2 linked regions of the Oryzias latipes genome follow. The protein of the gene in region 1 interacts with the protein of each later gene in a biochemical or structural test. Links are inferred from orthologs where the notes say so. Each region holds a gene or a part of one and is shown on either strand. Other genes may lie near its edges.

The links.
Region 2: of the proteins of cdk2 (region 1) and poll, one has a biochemical effect on the other in vitro, tested with the Homo sapiens proteins (2 studies listed by BioGRID). The link is inferred for Oryzias latipes from reciprocal best matches to the Homo sapiens genes CDK2 and POLL.

What each region holds. Positions count from the first base shown.
Region 1 is NC_019863.2:27,093,917-27,097,667, forward strand, and holds the start of cdk2 (cyclin-dependent kinase 2), read right to left. Parts: upstream 2,676-3,751; 5' UTR 2,357-2,675; coding exon 2,241-2,356; intron 1,657-2,240; coding exon 1,579-1,656; intron 1,482-1,578; coding exon 1,361-1,481; intron 1,284-1,360; coding exon 1,113-1,283; intron 853-1,112; coding exon 751-852; intron 671-750; coding exon 467-670; intron 1-466. UniProt on the Homo sapiens protein: Serine/threonine-protein kinase involved in the control of the cell cycle; essential for meiosis, but dispensable for mitosis. Phosphorylates CABLES1, CTNNB1, CDK2AP2, ERCC6, NBN, USP37, p53/TP53, NPM1, CDK7, RB1, BRCA2, MYC, NPAT, EZH2.
Region 2 is NC_019859.2:29,444,318-29,448,068, reverse strand, and holds the start of poll (DNA polymerase lambda), read right to left. Parts: upstream 2,740-3,751; 5' UTR 2,721-2,739; intron 571-2,720; coding exon of another isoform or gene 504-570; exon of another isoform or gene 486-503; intron 340-485; exon of another isoform or gene 260-339; intron 1-259. Other genes in the region: protein DPCD, read left to right, coding at 504-570, 2,780-2,860, 2,946-3,074, 3,148-3,248, 3,466-3,509, 3,638-3,740.

The DNA.
Region 1 (3,751 bases):
TTAGTTACCGGTAATACAAATTAGTAAATTTAAAACCTGAAATTGAGTTTTTGTAAAGTTTCATTGTGAAATTATTGGGATATAATTAAAAATATTCTGCTAAAAAAAAAGAGAGACAGAGAGAAGCCGCGGTTGTACTAAAAAACAAATGTCAAGCATTACCACAAAAACTATTTTAAAGATAAATTATTAGAGAAAAATGGAAAGTAGGAAAAAAAGCTGAAAGGGCACCATCCTAGAAAGGCAAACAAAAAATTTGAAAAGGTTTTTTCAAGTCAATATTTCTGAGCTGCGTTTAAAATATTGTTTTTTTTTTTTCAGTAGACAGAAAAAGTTATAATTTGCATAAGAGAATTTGTCATCCTTTCTAAACTCTACACATAAAAACAATTACTCTTAATTAACGCGTTTGCAGATATTTAACAGGAAAAGAGTAAAACATGTAGCAATCAGAAGAAAATCTCACTCCGAGCAACTCTCTTCCATCTTCGTCTAGAAGCGGAACCACTTTGGATAAATCCTGACGAGCCCATTTGGGGAAGGAGGGCTTGTAGTCGGGCATGGATGTGACTCCGGGCCACGCCGTTTCGTCAGGTGTGCCCAGCGTGCGAAAGATCCTGAATAACTGATCGATCTCAGAGTCTCCGGGAAACAAAGCCCTCCTGGTGATCTGTGAACACAGACCATCAGTTTATTATCAGCGTGCTCCTAATTCTTTATTGAAGTTGGTCTTGGGGTCGAGCGCGTTACCATTTCAGCGAAGATGCACCCCAAACTCCAGACATCGACAGCTGTGGAGTAGTATTTGCAGCCGAGGAGGATTTCTGGGGCTCTGTACCAAAGTGTTACCACCTGAAAGATACCACAAAGAATCAAGAACGACTCTAATGTTTTATTATGTGAACCTGATACAAGACAAGAAAAGGTCTGAATCAGATTTTGAAAGAGCAAAGCTAAGAAAATACATATTTTGGGATTTTATCCTTTAAAATAAACATTTTCTCACTATCCAGCACTAAAAATCCCTGAACCACATTAGAAAAACAAAATCAGCTGTTATCAGATCGATTCGTACCTTGTTACAGATGAAGAAAGGGAGGAGCACACTGTACCTCATGAGTGTAGGTGCGGACCGGCACTCCAAAAGCTCTCGCCAGACCGAAGTCTGCCAGTTTGATCTCACCCTGGGCGTTGATGAGGAGGTTTTGGGGCTTCAGGTCCCGATGAAGAACTCTGTGAGAGTGGCAGAAAGCCAGGCCTTGCAGCAACTGGAAGAGATAACTCTAGAAACACAAGACAGTAAGAACAAGGAATCAGGTCTGGACAGTTTCAGGATCTTCTCTTTAAAGAGGACGCTCACCTTCACCAAAGCCAGCGGGATGCCAGTCACAGAGGAAGAGTCCATGAATTTTTTGAGGTCCTGATGGAGGAACTCAAAAACCAGATAGAGTTTGTTTTCTGTGTGAATCACATCCTGCAACCTGGACAAAAAAAAAAAGTTGGTTTAAAACATAAAATCACACAAAATGGGATTCTTTTGAACAAAATAAACATATTTCTGCATGGTTAAACACTTACTTGACAATATTTGGATGACTGAGTTCTTTAAGAAGTGAAATTTCTCGAATCGCTGTGCTTGGTACGCCCTCTGTTTCTCTGGATTAAAGAAATCACAAATTTAAGGATCAGCGGAGATTGTTTTATGAAGTTAAATGCTTCCTTTGTCCCATTGATAAATTGAATACAATTTTCCTAGTTATTGCACAATAATTCATTTTGATTAAGAATCATTTTAAATTAAAGCAATTTGTTGTGTTTATGATGCTTTTCCAAAACTTTATGGACAAATGCACATGAATTTGTAATCATCACTTTTGATCAATTTATTGACTAATTGTGTTTAGTGTTCCATTACCCCCAAAGGCAAATAGAGATGAATAAAACAGATGGTGAATAGATTTTAAATGTAACTGAGTAGGTTTAATTTGACAGTGAAACCAACCAAACAAGAGCTGAATGCTTTTATTTTGTAACATGTCAGTTTTGTTTCAACTTTGTATTATTATTTACTTTTATTTTTTAGGTCTTTGTACATAGAGTGAATTTAAAATGTTTTGTCTTTTCTGTAATTAATGAAACTGTTTCATGAGGGGACTGGAATTAAGCATTTGAGATAATCTGAATCACAACAAACGCTTCTCAGAGGTTTCAACCAGCAGGAAGAAGAACTTTTCACTTACGTATCCAGTCGGATTTTCTTCAGCGCAACCGTTTCTCCGGTCAGTTTGTTTTTAGCTTTGTAAACCACTCCATACGTCCCTTCTCCGATCTTTTCCACTTTCTGAAACGTATCCATTTCCCACCAGAATCGGACCGGACCTCTTTCTTTGTTTCGGAGCTAACGTCTTCTCGGAGGCTACAAGCATTAAGCAGCGCGGGGACCGACCTACAATTACCCGCTTCTCCGGGTTTCGTCATGCGGTCCAGGCTACAACCAAACCAAGGGGTCCCGTTCGAGGACAAACTCTCTCCGGTCAGAGAGCGGCACACAAAAACGGACAGGTGAACATCTGTCAGGTAGTAACACTAACCCCTAAATTGAGGATTAGCCCGGTGGTTGCTCCGCGGTGGAAAACAACACAACGGCGTTTCCCGCGTTGTGTTGCGGGCGTTCGTTTTTGTGCTCGAGACACACCGTACCGTTCAGAGCAGAAGCAATTTATTATTTTCCCTTTTCTTGAATTTAGCAGTAATTAAAGTCAGTCCTGATATATGGCACTGGTGAAGGTAGACCGCTATGTTTATTGTATTTAATCCAATGATTTTATTGCGAACTGGTGTAATTGGAGAAATGAGTTCCTCGTCTTCCGGCGTATAACGGAATAATAAACAAGCCGCACTCTTTGGTCACATGGTCTACGGCGTAAAGGAACCAGAAAGCTACGTAAAAGCGGTTAAATATGAAGGGAAAAAAGTTTAACGCCCACAAATAATGTGTATTTTTGGAACATTTTTTTTTATCAATGTATACATTTTCATAAATGCATTTATATTCCAATTTAACCATCAGTTAAAAAACAAAAATCAAAGACGGAGATTATTTTTTTTTAATTTTAATAACTTTATTGACAAACATTGCACATACAGAATTTCACACCAAGTGCAAATTATTGAAGTTGCCATGAGGTTGAATAACAAAAAAATAATAATAATAATAATAATAAAATGAAATAAATAATAATAAAATAAACAAAATAAAAAAAATAAACACATAATTCAATAAATGAATCAACAAAAGTAATAATACATAAAAGTTTTTTAAAAAAAGCATAAACAGTCAAAATAAAAATAAAAAGACTTCAAAGTTTCAATTGAGACAAAACCTTTTTAAGTGTTTTATTAGTTTCTTTGTTAGTGCAGCATTTCCTTGTCAAACACATTCACACTGTTTTTTGTTAGTGAGATAAAACTGAAATCCCAAAAGATTATAACCACTCCTGACAACTTTTTGGCAAAAAAGTAGTACACTTGTACACCTAAAGTTTACTTCTTAAGTATACCTAAGTATAATTACAGCAAATGTACGCCTACTATACTCCATGTACATGCAGTACAGGAAGTATACTAACAGAATACTTCTCAGAATAAATTATTACATTTTATGTCTTCAATATATAGTGTATAAAAAGTAAACTTAAAGTATAGACTCCAATGGACTATCTTTGCCACAGGATAAGAAAAGTATGTTAGA
Region 2 (3,751 bases), on another chromosome or scaffold:
TTAAAACCGTAATTAATATTTTTGTAAATATCCAGTCACAATGGTGAAGGACTATATAAGGCCAACAATATTCCTCCGCTTGTTGTAAATGGCTAGCTGCTCATTCACACCGAATGACGATGAAAACAGAAAACAGTTTTAATTTGATCCCTTTCTGTTTTATCTGCAGTTTGATGCAAATTGAAATATTTCTACATTTTGAAATAAAACCGAACATTTGTTGCTTAAAACAACTGTACTATAAAATATTAGCTCTTACCCTGTTACAAACACAGGTGACCTGAAGCGGAAGTTGTTCCTTCTATGAATGCTTCATTTCCGGGTTGAGGTCACAAAAATAATGCGTTTTAATTTATTTGTATTTCACTAATAATGTTAATTATTATCTTATATTTCATATAAGACAATACTAAGAAATAGTTTTATCGTTCAAAATTAACTACACAATAACATTTTCGCGCCACTTGTTTCCGTGGTAACCGCCTGAGAGACGGAAGTGTAAAATGGCAGAGCTGCAAAGCTGGACCGAAGTTTTGAAGTCATCGAGAAAAACGGCGCTCATACAGGGTGGTAAGTTAAAAAAGATACAATACTCTTTAAATAAATAAAAACATTTTAAAATGTATTAACCTGACGTAATTACCTTTCCTAAAGTTGGACTTCACTTCATAGCTAATCATGTTGCTAGGCAACAAGCTAGCTGTCCCTACAGTTCCATCTACGTTAATACCAGAATCTCGAAAAGACAGACTCGAGCAGATGCGTTCGTATTTACAAAATACTAACAGTAACAGTACTTTAGATATTCTATGTGACGCTCCACGTTACTTAAGAAACTCCGAATCTATGAAAATAGCAACAACAAGCTAGAAAATAATATCATGAGAAAAACAAGTCACAGCAGCTCAAGTGTCAGTGAATCCTGAGCCTCATACCACTCAACCTGACCATGAAGATGCTCCTGTTTGCTAATAATGCTTTTTGTTCACAAGAACATTAAAGCTCTTTCAGACGGCGATTTAAATGAGACATCAAAAAACATCTTTCGACCCAAGTTAGTATTGTTTAGTTTGATTATAAACCCAAACTGCATTTTTTATTAACAGACCGAAAGCAAATCTACGATTAGTAATTAAATGGGAGGAGTTTGAAAGGGCAGTATTTGGACAACAGATGCGCTGATTGGATGGGGACCCAAATCTAAAGTATTTGTACCAAACAATGAAAGTGCATTTTAATTCTGAACCCACACAAGTTCTGATCAGATATCCGTCTGTGCCATAGACCATTCCACTGTTTTCACAGGCTTTTATTGTTGCAAAGGTCTAGGGCAAATACTAAACACGTTTCTTCAAAATTCCTTTATGTTACATACAGCTGGCATGAATCAGAAATTCATGTGTCCTTTTTTACTGCACTTATACAGATAAACTATGTATTTTAATTATATACACTGTGTGTGTTTTGCCTTCTAATATTTTTATTTTAGGGTGGTAATGATGAAGATTCTTACCTTGCATTTATCTGCTAATTCAACCTAAAAGTAGAAGAGTTTCTTTTTTTTTTATTGGCAAATGCCTCTCCCCACTTATTGTTTAGAGCAGTGTTTTTCAACCTTTTTTGAGACACGGCACACTTTAACCTTGAAAAAGATCCCGCGGCACACCAGCATCCAAAAAAATAGATAAAAAAAAAAAATAAAAAAATAAGCTCATAGTCTGTATTGATCTACAGCCGCTCTGCAATCTCACATGCATTTTTGTGATAATTGTTGCATAAAAAGCTGGAAGCTGCAGCTGTTTTTTTCTAAAAGATGTATTAAAAATTTAGTCAAAAGATTCAAAAACTGTTTGATGTGTGTTCGTTGTTTTAAGACGTTAAGAGGAGAGACTCATTGTGCGCTAAGACAGTCACTATACTGCATCATGGGAGATGTAGTGCCGATAATGCGCCGACCGCAGAAAGACCAGCGTCTTTGAGCTTCATTGTTTTGTTCACTTGTTCCACAGTCTGATACCAGATTCTGTGGAAAGCTACACCGCTAAAGACGAGCTTTAGCTGGTATTTTTCTTAGAACAGAGAGACTTTTTTGCGCTAAATCGAAACAAGGAAGCGAAGACTTTAACCACTTCTGATTGGTCATACTGATGACATGTGATTAAGCCTTCAAGAATGATTGGTGGAGACAGTTAAAGGGGCGGGACTTTTCCTTACACAGTTATAGCTGCAGCTAACGGTATCCCGTTATTCTTATCAAAATGTCTTTAAAAGAATCATATAAACACAAAGAAAAAATAATTTTATGATATTTCATATTTTTAACTTCTATGTGTTTTACCAGGGCCTGTTTGGATGAACAAAGAGCTGATTTCCTGGAGATGTTAAATGTTTTTAGATCAGTTAATGAGGGCAATTTCTCACGGCACACTTGACCATCTCCCACAAAAACACTGGTTTAGAGCAAATGCTTAAACAAGTTTCAGCTTCAAGTGATGAATAAAATTTTGTTGTGACTGCATGTAAATATTTAGGCCCCAATGGTTTTCATCGGTGTTCAAAAACAAACAAAAATCAAATGTAAATCAGTTTTTCGTGGTGGTCAGTTAAACAGCGGGGGGGGGGGGGCCGCAGTTGTAGTGGGTTTCTACCCGGACATCTCCGTCCCTGCTCGACACTTTCTGATTATTTTTGTTGAAAGAGATAAATAAACATAACATAACCTCACAGCTTGAGATTTTTATTTAGTATTTCTCGTGAACACTTTTGATTCTACCTGCAGGTAAGCGGAAGATCCACTATCTCTTCTCTGATGGGAAAGAGATGGCAGAAGAATACGACTTGAAGACAGACGAACTTATTAGTGAGGATCAAATGTAGCTTTTCTGCAGCATGAAGGTACTGGCGCCGGCGGTAGAGTCAGGATGAGTCTTCTGAATGTGTTTCAGTGCGGAAATGGCGCCATAAAAGCCCACTGGGAGCTCAAAGCCCCTGGCAGGTGGAGGTTGGGGAGCCGCTGGTCAACACCCCGGGATCTCAGGACTCGGACATAATCAGAGAGAGCTGCTCCAATGTGGGTTTTTTTTTTTTTCTGCTTTTATGTTGACCTGACCTCAGCTTAGTAATGATTGGGTTTGCAGAGCTCAGCAGCGTTTTCTCTGGTTTCCACAGCCTGTTTTCAGTGGAGAATCCGGAACCTCGCCTACCAGAAAGATGTCTTCAGTGTTTTTGTGGAGCCGTCTGAAAGATGTGTCGTCATCTTCTTCCTCTTTCGGCTTCTCCCATCAGGGGTCGCCACAGCGAACAAGTCGCATGGTAAACTTGGCAATGTTTTACGCCGGATGCCCTTCCTGACGCAACCTTCTCAAACCGGGCTTGGAACCGGCACAGGGGTAGAGAAGGGAACAGGGAGCAGCCCGGAGTCGAACCCTGGTTTCACGGACGGAAGGCGCCGCAAACCAGCACGAGCTAAACCGGCTCCCATGTGTCGTCATAAAGACCTCAAACAAAAAGTACCTTCCTGCGCTGCACACTTGTTGCATGCAATGTTCAGACTCTCCCTATAGATGGCGCTGTAGACAAACCATCCGCGTTGCTGCCGGCGCACCGTGCGTTTGTAATCCTGCATGTGTCTTTGCAGGTATTTTAAAAAGTTCTGTATTCCTGATCTTGATCGATGTTGTCTGCCTCTGGAGAGCGCCGCCCTCAGCTTCACACACGCCAACAACACGCTGATCGTCAGTGTGAGTTTCTC